Sus scrofa: one gene and its partner. The protein of the gene in region 1 interacts with the protein of each later gene in a biochemical or structural test. Links are inferred from orthologs where the notes say so. Each region holds a gene or a part of one and is shown in the gene's direction. Other genes may lie near its edges.

The links.
Region 2: the proteins of NBR1 (region 1) and MAP1LC3C form a complex in vitro, tested with the Homo sapiens proteins (2 studies listed by IntAct). The link is inferred for Sus scrofa from reciprocal best matches to the Homo sapiens genes NBR1 and MAP1LC3C.

What each region holds. Positions count from the first base shown.
Region 1 is NC_010454.4:19,755,035-19,762,072, reverse strand, and holds the end of NBR1 (next to BRCA1 gene 1 protein), read left to right. Parts: intron 1-294; coding exon 295-352; intron 353-1,750; coding exon 1,751-1,859; intron 1,860-4,550; coding exon 4,551-4,724; 3' UTR 4,725-6,340; downstream 6,341-7,038. UniProt on the Homo sapiens protein: Ubiquitin-binding autophagy adapter that participates in different processes including host defense or intracellular homeostasis.
Region 2 is NC_010452.4:15,367,356-15,375,092, forward strand, and holds the start of MAP1LC3C (microtubule-associated proteins 1A/1B light chain 3C), read left to right. Parts: upstream 1-3,826; 5' UTR 3,827-4,334; intron 4,335-5,271; exon of another isoform or gene 5,272-5,587; 5' UTR 5,588-5,611; coding exon 5,612-5,669; intron 5,670-5,779; coding exon 5,780-5,835; intron 5,836-6,271; coding exon 6,272-6,378; intron 6,379-7,737.

The sequences.
Region 1 (7,038 bases):
TTCCCATTCCTCCTCAGAAAACAAAACCCAGAAGTACTTGAGAACTAGCAAACCAGTGTGATAGTATTATAGAATTCATTTGCTGATTCAATAAATAGTTTGCATTCCGGACAGTTTCCCTTATCACTTAAACACCTGCAAAATTTCCGAAATATTAAAAAAAAAAAAAAAAAGAAACAAAACTGTAAACACTGTGATCAGATGCCACCTGCCTTAAAAATAGCCTTGCTGTGAGGTAGGAAACACCAAGCATTTATGGATGCTGCATCTAACCAACAGCTCTTTTGCTTTTAGAGCTCAGAGGCTCATCAGGACTTGTAAACAGCAGACAGAAGAGCTATGACCACTCAAGGTAACTGGACCTTGTGCAGCCTCTTCTTCAGAAGCAGGTGGATATCCTAGTATTGCTTCTGCTTAAACGAGCTTCTCAGAGCATGTGCCGTCTCCCAAGAGCAGAGAAGGACAGCCATCATTCCTTCTTGTTCTTATTTCTTCTGAAGCTTGTGAGCAGCACTAAACAGAGGGCTAGTGATGTTTAAGAGTCTTCAGAGGGAGTTCCATCATGGCTCAGCAGAAACAAATCTGACTAGCATCCACGAGGATGCAGGTTCAATCCCTGCCCTTGCTCAGTGGGTTAAGGATCCGGCATTGCCTTGAGCTGTGGTGTAGGTCGCAGATGGGGCTCGGATCCTACATTCCTGTGGCTGTGGCTTAGGACGGCAACTACAGCTCTCATTCAGCCCCTAGCCTGGGAACCTCAATATGCCTCTGGTGCAGCCTTAAAAGACAAAAGACCGAAAAATAAAAATGAAAAAAATAAGTCTTCAGGGAGTTCCCATTGTGGCTCATAGGTTAAGAACCTGACTAGTTTCCATGAAGACATGGGTTTGATCCCTGGTCTCAGTGGGTTAAGGATCCGGTGGTGCCGTGAGCTGTTGTGTGGGTCACAGACATGGCTCAGATTCTGCATTACTGCGGCTGTGGTATAGGCCAGCAGCTACAGCTCCTGGTCAACCCCTAGCCTGGGAACTTCCATATACCATGGGTGTAGCCCTTAAAAAAAAAATCTTCAAATTCCAGGAGTTCCCTCCTGGCTCAGTGGGTTAAAGACCCAGAGTTGTCACTGCTTTGGCTCTGATTACAGCTGTGGCATGGGTTTGATCCCTGGCCCAGAAACTTCTGCATGACATTGCCCACCCCCCCCCAAAAAAAGAGAGTCTTCAAATTCCAGACCAGGAAGAATTGCGCTCAGATTCAGTTCATGCTTAGTACCAGGAAGAGAGTGGGAAGGGCAAGCCCACTGTGTATTTGTGTAACTTTTTAATAGACAAACCTGTGTCTCTGTTCCCAGTCATCTCAGAGCAGTGTCAGGGCAGGCTCCTCCCTACCTACAATGTTCAGAAGATCACATTTCTTTTGGGCGATGTTTCCTCTGAAATAATTGAGCAGACAGACTGTCAGTACCTCATTAATTGACCACATTAATTCTCAGCTGGGGCTGAAAGCTGGCATGCTAACTGGAGTGCTGTGTTTTCTGCAGTGCCCATATCTAGTAGCAGTAGAGCTGTGCCCTATATCAAACCCAGATTTGTAGCTGTAATACTGATACAGAAATAACCACATTATCTTTTTACATCTGATTTTTTTCCCTCAAGGAAATTTTTTCTTTCCAGGGTTAGAGCCCAAATTATCTTATAGGAAGATAATGGTTTGTGTTTCCTTAGGAAGATAATTTGGTTTTTCTCCACAGGCACCACCACCATGGGAACAGCATTGCTGGAGGACTGATGAAGGGGGCTTTGTCTGTTGCTGCCTCCGCATACAAGGCCTTGTTTGCTGGGCCACCAGTCACTGCACAGGTCAGTGTATGTTTTATTTTCCTGAACCAAATCCAAGTCACCAGGGAAAACGATGGCATCTCTCTGTGTTGGAGAGAGTAGTGTTGCATCACGGAAAACATGAGCTTTAAGGTTTTGTGTTTTTTTGTTTTTTTTTTTTTTTTTGGCCACACAAAATTATGGCTAAAATTTTAAAAAGTGTATTTATTTTCTTTTGCCACACCCATGGCATATGGAAGTTCCCCAGGCCAGGAATGGAATCTGAGCCGCAGCTGTGACCTGCGCCCCAGTGGGAATTCCTAAGTTTAATCTTTGGTTAACACACAACTCTGCCACCTTCCAGCTGCATGACATTGGCTATATTACTTAAAGGAGGAAAGAAAAAAGACCTGATGTTTTAAGGCCAGTGGGAAGCCACTGAAGTGTTTTAGAAAAGTAATTAACATAATCAGATTTGTCCTTAGTAGGATCACTCCACTCCACCATAGTGTAGAGGCTGGAGGAGCCGAAAAGAAATCCATTTGGGAATCCCAAGTGTAGGTCAAAGAAATAAAGGGATGGAGATGATTAAGTGGCTAGAAAGAAGTCAGGGATAAAAGTTTCTGGCTTAGGTTTGGCCTGGAAATAAAGTCATGTGTGTACAGGTTATAGCAGGAGCCATGTGATTAGATATGATTTTCCAGGAAGAATGGGTAAAGCTAGAAGCAGCCTCTAAAGATCATGGAAAGAAGAAGGGCCCTGCAGAGAGGACTGGGATTTAGAGGAAAATGAAGGAGGGGGTTCTGTGCTGGAGCTTAGGGAAGGGAGTTTTAATGAGGAGGACATAGCCAGCAGCATGAGATCCTGCAGAGAAGTGTGAAGGGATAGAGAGGACTTTGAGAGTACAAGTCTGTCTCATTTTTATTTTTTTATTTTTATTTTTCTGTCTTTTTAGGGCTGCACTTGTGGCATATGGAAGTTCCCAGGCTAGGGGTCCAATTGGAGCTGTAGCCACTGGCCTACAGCCACAGCAACACAGGATCCGAGCCGCATCTGCAACCTACACCACAGCTCATGGCAACGCCAGATCCTTAACCCACTGAGCAAGGCCAGGGATCGAACCCCCATCCTTATGAATGCTAATCAGATTCACTAACCACTGAGCCACAACAGGATCTTCAAGTCTGTCTCACTTTTTTTCTTTTTTTTTTTTTTTTTTTTTTTTTGTCTTTTTGCTATTTCTTGGGCCGCTCCCGCGGCATATGGAGGTTCCCAGGCTAGGGGTCCAATCGGAGCTGTAGCCACCAGCCTATGCCAGAGCCACAGCAACGCAGGATCCAAGCCGCGTCTGCAACCTACACCACAGCTCACGGCAACACCGGATCGTTAACCCACTGAGCAAGGGCAGGGATCGAACCCACAACCTCATGGTTCCTAGTCAGATTCGTTAACCACTGCGCCACGACGGGAACTCCTGTCTCACTTTTAAATAGCTGGACTGTATGAAGGGAAAAAGAGAGCAAACACTGAGACATGTGAGGCAGAGGGAGACTGTTTTTTAAAGATGCGTGAGCCAGTCAGTAGCAAAGAAGGTTAATAATCAGAATGAGATAGGAATAATTAATAGAACATTAGTATTTATGAATAATCAATGGGAAAATATTTCTGAGGTGGTGGGAGGTAATGAGATACAAAGCAAAGTACACGTGGAAGGAGTGCCCTTTGTGGCTCAGTGGTAACGAACCCAACTAGTATCCATGAGGATGTGGGTTCAGTCCCTGGTCTCACTCAGTGAGTTAAGGATCCAGCATTGCCATGAGCTGTGGTGTAGGTCACAGTCGTGGCTCCGGTCCTGGGTTGCTATTGCTGTGCAGCAACCAGGCCAGCAGCTACAGCTCTGATTTGACCCCTAGCCTGGGAACTTCCATATGTCGTGGGTGCGGCCCTAAAAAGACAAAAAAGAAAGTGCATGTGGAAGGATTAACTTGGAAAGGAAGATGGATAATTTATTCTGAAGTAAGAGGGAAGAAGGGAACAGTGGAAGAGGGCAGTACCAGAGGCGGTGCTCAACACATTGGCATACTTTCTCTTCTTCATGGGCTCAACAACCCTGCAAAATTAAGTATTCTGTGTCTTCATTTTCATTAAGAAAATTGGTGCTCAACACAGTTGGTAAGTAAATGGTAAGAGGGTGTTTTAAGTGTTAGGAGGATTAAAGGAGACTATGTGTTCACCACAGGGCTTGGCCCAAAGAAGGAGGTAAATAAATATTCTATTATTTAAAAGAAAAAAAAAAAAAAAAGCCAAGAAGGTGCCCAGGATATAGTTTCCCACAGTTTTTTGTCCAGCTCCTCTGCATATCTGACTAAATTGCCCATCCTTTTCTTCCAGGATCAGTCTCTTCTCTTGCTTCTGCTTGCCCCATCATGATGATTACCTTTTTCTTCACAGGTTTTTCCAGAGTTTGTTTGCATCTTTCCCTTTATCTGGCCTCATTCAAAGGGCAGTTCATTAGTCACCTAGTTTGGGGTACTTTGGGTACTTCCCAGTTCTTCCCATCCCCTCGGAAATCCCATTATCATCGGGTGAACAGAAGTGCCATAGCCTTGTACCTAATTACCTAGTATTTTGAACACCTCTGGAAAGATCAGTGTGACTTAAGATAATAAGAATTTATAAGATAAACGCAAATTATACAGAAAATGTTGTTCTGCTTTTCTTGACTCTACACAGCCAATAGTTTCTGAAGATCAGACAGCAGCCCTGATGGCCCATCTCTTTGAAATGGGATTCTGTGACAGGCAGCTGAACCTAAGGCTGCTGAAGAAACACAACTACAACATCCTACAGGTTGTGACAGAACTCCTTCAGGTCAACAACAACGACTGGTACAGCCACCGCTACTGAGGAGTGACCTTGTATTAAATTACTTTGCCTGCTGCTCAGAGATGATCTTTATTCTGTTGTTGGGGTGTAGGGGAGAGGCCCTTGCTTATTTTTAATCTAATGAATCTACATAGAGCCCATCATTGAACTATCAAGACAAAACCTGCACTGCAGTATTTTTTTGGAGCAAATCAAAGACCAGAACTTAAAGTTTCACTTTAGACATTGGATGAATTGTATGAAGAGCGTTTTTCAGTTGATTTGGATAAAACTCCTTTCTCCGTTTTAGCACACTGAAGAGTATAACTTAAACTTCCTATAGAACCATTTTTCTTTCTGCTTGTATTGAAGTTGAGTATTTTTCTTTGCTTAAGGTGGATGTTTTTATGAGGATATCTGTTGTCAGTTTTTAAAAGAAATTAACCTTGGAAGTCGTTTTCAAGAATTATTCTCATAATCTCTCAAACCTATCCCAAGCCTCATAGCTAGGTGGTATTAAAATGACACCCAGAGTGTGATAGGAATTTTGTTACTCTTCCCTTCTCAAGGAGAAAGTCATTTCCCTGAAAGCCTTAGTAACTGGCACTGTTGTTTTTTAAAGACCCCACTGATGGCATTTAAGAATATCCACCTTCTGGGTCTCTTCAGTGACAGGAGGGAGGAGTATGCTAATTAACCCACCAGCACCTGTTGAGCAGTGTCTATTGTAGTAATTTTGCATACATTTTATTTTATTTAAGGGAAAAAAAATTAGGTAGTGTGAAATATTTTGCTAATCCTATAAAAAAAAACTCCTCTATTAAAAGGAAGAGTAAATTTAACAGTTACCTTTTATGTCAGGGGGCAGGTCTTATTTACAGTAGGGGCGGGTGGGGGTGATAGATACATGAGACGTGAAAGGCAGGCTCCTGTGTGATTCTCAGTAAAGTTCAGGGGCAGGCAAATGAGTATGTGTGAGGCCTAGGAAGTCCTGATGGCTTCTTGAATGTTTGAAATCTGCTCAAAGTTATCTAGCCCCAGAGTGCCTAGAAGAGGAAAAAGAGGCTGGTGTTTCACAAAACTTGGATGGGGGTGAGCTTGCTAAAAAAGTTTTGGCTTAATCCCAGGGTAAGTGAGTGGGAAGGAGCTTGTTTACTAAAAGGGGTCCAGATCCTCACTCTGTTTGCAGAAGAGGGCCTTGGGTACAGTTGGTAAAGCGGTAAAATACACTAAATATTTTATTCATTAAAGTTACTTGCAGAAAAAGAAGAACCTGACCCCCAGCGGAAGGGAGGAGGATAGTTTAAAAAAAAAAATAGTATTATTTAACCTGGTTGGTATTATAATGAATGGTGGTTTAAGTTAATCATTAGCCATAATGTTTATTTACAGTATAAGGCTTGAATGCTATTAAGTCAGTCAGGATTCAGACTGCAAGCCAACCAGGCTGTTTATTATTTAAACCGTTTACGGCTTCTGGGTCGAGGCAGAGCGGCAGGGTGTGAAGCGGGAGGGTTAATTTGGGATGGGACCTGTCTTGACCATCTGAGTCGTACTGTAGGGGTCCGTGACGGCCCTGGGGTCCAGTCGTCTGTCTCATTGTATTTGTGCATAACTGGTTAAAGAATGGTGAAATAAAGGTTCTTTGAAACTCTTTCCTGGACTGGCTGGTCCTTGCGGAAGCAGCAACCGGGACCTCGCTTAGCCTTTGAAGAGCTGAGAAATTCTCTGGCGGCTGTGTTGGGAGAGGAGAGGCCCTGGAAGGGAGGGGGAGGGCCCGGGGAGGGAGGGGGGGCGGCTCGGAGGAGCGGGGGCGGAGCTTCTCAAGGTTTTGCGAGTCAAAGCTTGCGGCCAGCCCCCGGTTCCCGCACTTTCGATTCCACTTTGCAGCCGTTTGTGTCACTGCCGTCGCACGGGGGTAAGGCATTCCGGGACCCTCCTTCCCTTCTCTCCCTTCGGGAGGCAACGGGCCAGGCCCCTTGTGTACCTCCTCCTAGCCCAGCACACAGGCACACGCGGGTACCAGGCTCTACTAACGGCCTCTCAGAGGGTGGGTGGGACTTTAAATCCTCCTCCGAAGTCCCAGTCTCAGCCCTCTCCCATCGCCCGGCCCATGACGGAGCCCCAGAGTAGGGCGTGAAGCAGCTGGACCCCCTGAGAAGGCCAGGGTCGCTGCTCTCCACCTCCTCCAGTGCCGCTCATTTGCTCCCCCAGGACTCTGCTGGAAGGAGGCCAGTGGCCCCTGGAGCCACCCTATCCTACAGGCCCTCCTCCCCAAAGAGGCACTGCAGAAGTCTCACTCTCTTGCAGCTGAGATGAGCCGGGGATCTCTGACCTAAACCAGGTGAGGCACCAT
Region 2 (7,737 bases), on another chromosome or scaffold:
GGATTTCTGTGGTCAAAGCTTAGCGAAGCGGATGCCCAGAATGTGTTTGCAGAAAAGGGAAACTAGCTGAGCCAGATCGTTCTAAAAATGGAGCTTTCAGAGTTCCCGTTGTGGCTCAGGGGTAACAAACCCAACTAGTATCCATGAGGATGCAGTTTCCATCCCTGGCCTCGGTCAGTGGGTTAAGGATCTGGCATTGACGTGAGCTGTGGTGTAGCTCACAGATGCGGCTCAGATCCTGCATTGCTGTGGCTGTGGTGTAGACCTGCAGCCGCAGTTCTAATCTGACCCCAAGCCTGGGAACTTCCATATGCCACAAGTGCGGCCCTAAAAAAACAAAAATAAATAAATAAATGTGGAGCTTTCTTAGGAGGCCATGGAGCCAGTGGCCAAGTGTTTTTAGGAATCCATTATCATAAATGCAAAAGGTGCAGAAAGCAAGAATTTGCCTAGGGTCTTAGAAAAATGAGCGTGAGCCTCCCTCTGTAGCTGATCCCACTGAGCCCCACCTTCCCAACCTGGTTTCCTAATTGTTTTCCAGACTGGCTTATTTTTTTTTCCTTTCCACTTTCCTTGTCTACAGGATGCTTTGATGTCGAAACAGCTTTTTTTTTTTTTTTCAGAAGACCCAAACACCTGCAATTAACTCATGGAAGGAGACTGAGGATTGACAGTGGATTTGGGGGCTGTGAGGCATGACCTTAAATCATTTGCCCTGACATCCAGAGGACCTGGAGGCAGCCTGCTCACCTTTATTCCAGGATGCCATCTTTAGATGTCTACAGAGACCACCTGTGGAGTTCCCATCGTGGTGCAGTGGCAGCGAATCCAAGCAGGAACCATGAGGTTGCAGATTCGATCCCTAGCCTGGCTCAGTGGGTCAAGGATCTGGCATTGCCGTGAGCTGTGGGGTAGGTTGGAGATATGGCTTGAATCCTGTGTTGCTGTTGCTGTGGTGTAGGCCAGCAGCTGTAGCTCTGATTCGACCCCTAGTGTCTGGGAACTTCCATATGCCTTGGATGCAGCCCTAAAAAAAATGTAAAGTGACCCCCTGTGATGGTGTTTAGGGAATAGGGAAGAAAGAGTTTTCACAAGGGTGGAGGGTACAGTCTTCATTTTGATCTGAACTCTGAAGGTCTCCACACTGAGGGAACAGAGAGTCTGGCCATTTAAGTAGGGCTGGGATGAAGAGACTGCTGGAGGAATGTTTCAGAAAATATTTCCCTAAGACCACAAGATCTCCTACCCCCAAATTTTTAATATAAAACTCAAAACCACATTACAAGCATAGTTTTGCTGTGGCTCAAATCCCCCCAGCTGTGCATGTTATTTTGTGCTCTGAGCTTCAGTTCTCTTTTTCCGAAGAAATAATTGAGAAAAAAATGTAGGTCGTGATTAGCACAGTGTCAAATACAATAAATGTGCTTCCTCCCTATTCCAGTGAAGGATAATATTGATGATGAAGACATTTCTGATGTCAATAAGCCAAGTCTGTTGTCCAGACTGACCTTGTCTTTTTCATAGACTCTGGGTTACCCCTCTGATCCTCAGGCTCTTCATCAACAGAACGGTGAAAACAATAACTTTCACTTATGGTTGTTTTTTTTCTTTTTTGTCTTTTGTCTTTTTAGGGCCGTACCCTCAGCATATGGAGGTTCCCAGGCTAGGGGTCTAATTGGAGCCGTAGCCGCCGGCCTATGCCAGAGCCATAGCCACACCAGATCCCAGCCTATTTCTGCAACCATACCACAGCTCATGGCAACGCCACATCCTTAACCCACTGAGCAACCTCATGGTTCTTAGTTGGATTCGTTAACCACTGCTCCACGACGGGACCTCCTGCTTATGTTTTTTAAATGATTTTTATTTTTTCCCATTATAGCTGGTTTACAGTGTTCTGCCAATTTTCTACTGTATAGCAAGGTGACCCAGTCACACATACATATATACATTCTTTTTCTCATATTATCCTACATCCTGCTTCATCACAAGTAACTAGATATAATTCCCAGTGCTCTACAGCAGGATCTCATTGTTTATCCATTCCAAAGGCAATGGTTTGCATCTATTAACCCAATTCCCAGTCCATCCCACTCCCTCCCCCTCCGCCTTGGAACTTTTGCTTACTGAGTTGTATGTGCGAGCCATTATTCTAGATCTGTTTACATATGTTAACTAATTCATTTGATGCTCCCAGTTTCACAAGGTATGCGTTATTTTTGCTTTTATATACAAGGTAACAGAGAGAGGTATCAATTGGCACAATGTCACAAGGCTAGTAGGTGGTAGATTCAGAGTCCAGCTCCATGTGGTTTAAGTCCCAGAGCACACTTTTTGGATAACATTAAAATGTGAAATTGTGGAGTTCCCATTGTGGCTCAGTGGGTACATGATGAACATTGTGGTACATCAGTATCCACGAGGTTGGGGGTTCGATCCTTGGCCTTGTTCAGTGGGTTAAGGATCTCGTGTAGCCATGAACTGTGCTGTCAGTTGCAGACATGGCTCAGATCCTGCATTGCTGTGGCTGTGAGGTTGGTTGGCAGCTGCAGCTCCAATTCGACCCCTAGCCTGGGCACTTCCGTATGCTGTAGGCATGGCCCTAAAAAGAGGAAAAAAAGTAAAATCAATAAAGAACATAGCAGTTGCTTGGAATATAATCATTGTGGTGGGAAAATGAGTGCTAATGATAGAGACCCCTCTCTAGGTAGGATCATGTGATTCATTTTCCTCTGTGGAAGGTGGGTGAACCCTCAAAGGTGCCACTTTAAGTCTGAGAAAGCCAAGTGTAAGTGTATCTTTTCCACCTGTTTTCCCATCTGAGCTGGTGGAAATGAAGGCCTTTGAGGTGACAGAACCTGCAGGTGTAAAGCAGAGAATGCCCTTAAATTTCTCCTGGAACAGAGCCAAACAGGGAGCCTCCTACATGTACTGGACTGCGATGTGGATGAAAGTCAAACTCTTTATGTGTAGCTGTTACATTTAAGGGTATATTTCTTTTTTTTTTTTTTTTTTTTTTGTCTTTTTTGCTATTTCTTGGGCCGCTCCCACAGCATATGGAGGTTCCCAGGCTAGGGGTCGAATCGGAGCTGTAGCCGCCGGCCTACGCCAGAGCCACAGCCGCGTCTGCAACCTACACCACAGCTCACGGCAACGCCGGATCATTAACCCACTGAGCAAGGGCAGGGACCGAACCTGCAACCTCATGGTTCCTAGTCAGATTCATTAACCACTGCGCCACGACAGGAACTCCAAGGGTGTATTTCTTATTGCAGCATAGCATAGCCTGTCCTCACTACAGAACAATTAAATGGTAGTAATGATTACTTTTTTTTTTCAAAATATAAATAGCCACGAAAGGAAAATATCACAAAGTTAATATGAAATATGTAGGATTCTTTCTTCTTGAGCAATAAAAAAGAAATTTTGAGGAAGTGCCCCTTGTGGCTCAGCAAGTTAAGAACCCAACTAGTATCCATGAGGAGTTGGGTTCGATCCTCAGCCTTGCTCAATGGGTTAAGGATCCGGCGTTGCCATGAGCTGTGGTGTAGGTCGCAGACATGGCTCGGATCTGGCATTGCTGTGGCTGTGGCGTAGGCCAGGGGCTGTAGATCCGATTCGCACCCTGCTTAGGAACCTCCGTATGCTGCAGGTACAGCCCTAGAAAGCAAAATACATAAATATATGTATATCTCGAAGCCCAGAGCTCAAGAAATTGGTCACATGATAATGGGTAGAGACAGGAAGGAAGGAGAGGAGGTCAAAAAAGGGAAGAGGAAGGGGTCCCAGGGCCATCATGACCTGTGGAAAGTTGTGAGGCCCCCACTGCATTCTAGCACCTCAGGTCAGCGCCCCAACCTTCTCCACTGAGCCTCAGCATCAAAGATGGACCTCATCCATGGAGGTGTGGCCCTAGGAGCTAAAGGTCTTCTAAGAAACCAATCTAACTACTGAGGCCAAGTTCATGCTCCTCCCTGCAGACTCAAAGCCTCAGGGTGAACTCGGCAACTATTGTCCTAGCTTCGTAGGCAGGGGTAAAGGCAAGTTTTTTTTTTTAATAGGGAAGATTTTTCACTAGTTGTGTAAAAAACAGAGTAAACTACTGCTTTTCTTTCTGTCCCTCAGCAAACTGGAGAATGTTTGGTCACCTTCCCCTGTGTCATCATCACTACGCTGAAGACTTCTCAGTGTCCTGCATAGAAGGGAGCCAGGGATGACCAGTAAAGGTCATGGTACCTCCAGAGACAATCGAGCAGAAGCAAATGGTCCTTTTTATTCTCAGGACGTGATGGATCTGAATAACACGGAGGGACCGCCGAGCTCCTGGGTGTGAGGTAAGGAGGTGCTTGGCATCAAGTGGGAAACGGGGTCACTAAAACCGTCATTAAGGCGTTCCCCTCATGGCTCAGTGGAAGCGAATCGGACTAGCATGCATGAGGATGCAGGTTCCATCCCTGGCCTCCCTCAGTGGGTTAAGGATCTGGCGTTGCCGAGAGCTGTGGTGTAGGTCACAGACACTGCTCGGATCTGGCATTGCTGTGAGCTGTGGTGTAGGCTGGCAGCTGTAGCTCCGATTTGACCCCTAGCATCTGGGAACCTCTATATGCCGTGGGTTCGGCCCTAAAAAGACAATAAAGAAATACAGAAATATCCTGAGTTTGATAAAAAGTGTTCTACCCACATTCCTAGACCTGTAAAAAATGACCAAAATATGCTGGAAAGCTGCAGAGTATAACACTACTTTGATACATGCCTAGATTTTTTTTTTTTTTTTGTCCTTTTTAGGGCTGCATCTTTGGCATATGGAGGTTCCCAGGTTAGGGGTCTAATTGGAGCTATAGCTGCCAGCCTACACCACAGCCACAGCAACACCAGATCCGAGCAGCATCTGCGACCTACACCACAGCTCACGGCAACGCCAGATCCTTAACCCACTGAGGGAGGCCAGGGATAGAACCCGCAACCTTATGGTTTCTAGTCGGATTTGTTTCTGCTGCACCACAACTGGAACTCCCACACCTAGATTTTAACCCTAATTTTACCTCTTTATCTGGACAAGTTACTCAGCCTTTCTGGAATATTCTTTCTTTCTCTTGCTTTTTAGGGCTGCACCTGAGGTTCCCAGGCTGGGGGTTGAATTGGAGTTGTAGCTGCCAGCCTACACCACAGCCACAGCAACATGAGATCTGAGCCTTGTCTGCCACCTACACCACAGCTCACGACAACTCAGGATCCTTAACCCGCTGAGCGGGGCCAGGGGTTGAATCTGTGTCCTCATGGATGTTAGTTCGGGTTTGTTACCACTGAGCCACAACGGAAACTCCCTACATTGTAAATCTCAATTTCTTTAGCAAAGACAACATTTTAAACGGTAGTGAGCAAAGTGACTTTCTCTAACCAGCAAGCAGGTGGCTGTTTCATTTCCATTCTGAAAAATGACCCCCTCCTGCCCAGGAGGGGAGGGCTGGAGAAGGCTGATGTCACACAGTCCCACATAAAAGCGTCCTTTGGGCTCCCGCAGGCAGTTTGGAAACAGCTGGAGGAATGAGTTAGGTACTCTTTTTTTTTTTCTTTTTTTTCAATTCAGACACAGACACAGCTGTTGAGCAAAATGCAGACTCCCCAGAAAAGCCCAAGCCTCAGACCCTTCAAGCAGAGGAAGAGCTTAGGTAAAGTTCTCAGAGTATTTGTCTGGGTTTGGGCCCTCGAGACAGGGAAAGACGAGGACACGGACTTCTGCTCCAGGCTGATATGTTCATTTCATCTTACGTGTTCACAGCAACCAGAAGAGAGGAAGTGGCTGGAATCCGGATGAAGTTCCCTGGCAAGATCCCGGTAAGACTCCACTGTGGCTCCTCAGCCGGGCCTGTGATGTCCCCTTCTTTGAGAAAACAAAACCCGGAGCTGCTGTTGTGGCTCAGCAATCACGAGCCCAGCTGGTAACCATGAGGATGTGGGTTCGACCCCTGGCCTCACTCAGTGGCCCAGGGATGCCGCATTGCCGTGAGCTGTGGTGTAGGTTGTAGACGAGTCTTGGATCCCATGTGGCTATGGCTGTGGTGTAGGCCAGCAGCTGCAGCTCCGACTGGACCCCTAGCCTGGGAACTTCCATATGCTTCAAGTGCAGCCCTAAAAATCAAAAGAAAAAAAAGACAAGACCAAACCCAGGCAGTGACCCCCTTCTCTCTATTCCAAGTTTCTAAGACACGGAGACTGAGGCACATTCTTGGGCATTTGCTTCGGGAGAGATTCAGGTTGAAACTCTTGACAGGTGATAGTGGAGCGCTACCCCAGGGAGAAATTCCTGCCCCTGCTGGACAAGACCAAGTTCCTGGTCCCCCAGGAGCTGACCATGACCCAGTTCCTCAGCATCATCCGGTAGGTAACAAAGTGCATGCAGGGGCCGGGGGTGGAGGTGCGCCCTGTGGCCCTGGGCTTCTTGGAACAACGGGAGATGGGCTACAGCAGAGAGACAGGGAAGGATGTGGGTTTCACCTTTTCTCTTCAACTCTGCCTTTTAAAAGGATGATGTTGAGTTCCCGTTGTGGCTCAGAGGGTTAAGAACCTGACTAGTGTCCATGAGGTTGCAGGTTTGAACCCTGGCCTCATTCAGTGGGTTAAGGGTCTGGCGTTGCTATGGCTGTGGCGTAGGCCAGCAGCTGCAGCTCTGATTTGACACCTAGCCTGGGAACTTCCATGTGTCGCAGGTGCAGCCTTAAAAAGAAAAATAAAAAGGGATGATTTCATGAGTAAGCAGTCTTAAAAAGAAGGAAAGTACTTTGCTACAACCTTGTAAGAAGCGAGAACCCCCAATGTTGATACACTGGCTATTTTTTCTTTTGTTTCAACATTTTGCTGGTACTTTGTTTTCGTTTGTATCTTAAATTTCTCCAAGAATTTTTCAAAGGAATCTTTGGAACCTGATCCAAAGGCCTCTGTTTTCAGCTATTTTAAAAGCCCAATGACAGCTTTGTACCTCTAAATGGTTCCCCCTTTGTGGCAGGGAGGGAACTGGGGGGAGGAGTGTGCTGTCCACCTGCTGGAATCACTGAGCGGGAGAACCAGCCCCTCCCCACATCCCGCTTCCCCTGTTCCAAACGAGGGGAGGCCAAGTAAAGGAAACGCTGCTGACTTAAAAGATGCAGCGGAAACAAATCCGACTAGCAACCATGAGGATGCAGGTTCGATCCCTGGCCTCACTCAGTGGCTTAAGGATCTGGCATTGCCATGAACTGCAGTGTAGGTCGCAGACGCGGCTCAGATCCCACGTTGCTGTGGCTGTGGTGTAGGCTGGCAGCTGTAACTCTGATTCAACCCCTAGCCTGGGACCTTCCATATACTGTGGGTGTGGCCCTAAAAAACAAAAAAGAAAATAAAAATAAAGCTTAAGGGATTGAAGTTGTCACCTGCTATCTGAACTCTAAAAAAAAAAAAAAAAAAAAAAAAAAAAAAAAGAAACTAAAAAATAACTTACTTAGGGCTCCACAAATATGGCTTAGGTGGTGAGTCTCCCTGTGCTGGAAACAACCTCTCAAATTTTTTGGCTGATGCAGACAGTTTTTTGAGAGCATTTATTGTGATTTTTAAAATGAGCTTTGGGGGAGTGTCTGTCGTGGCTCAGTGGTTAACAAATCCAACTAGGAACCTTGACGTTTTGGGTTCGATCCCTGGCCTTGCTCAGCAGGTTAAGGATCCGGTGTTGCCATAAGCTGTGGTGTAGGTCACATACTCAGCTTG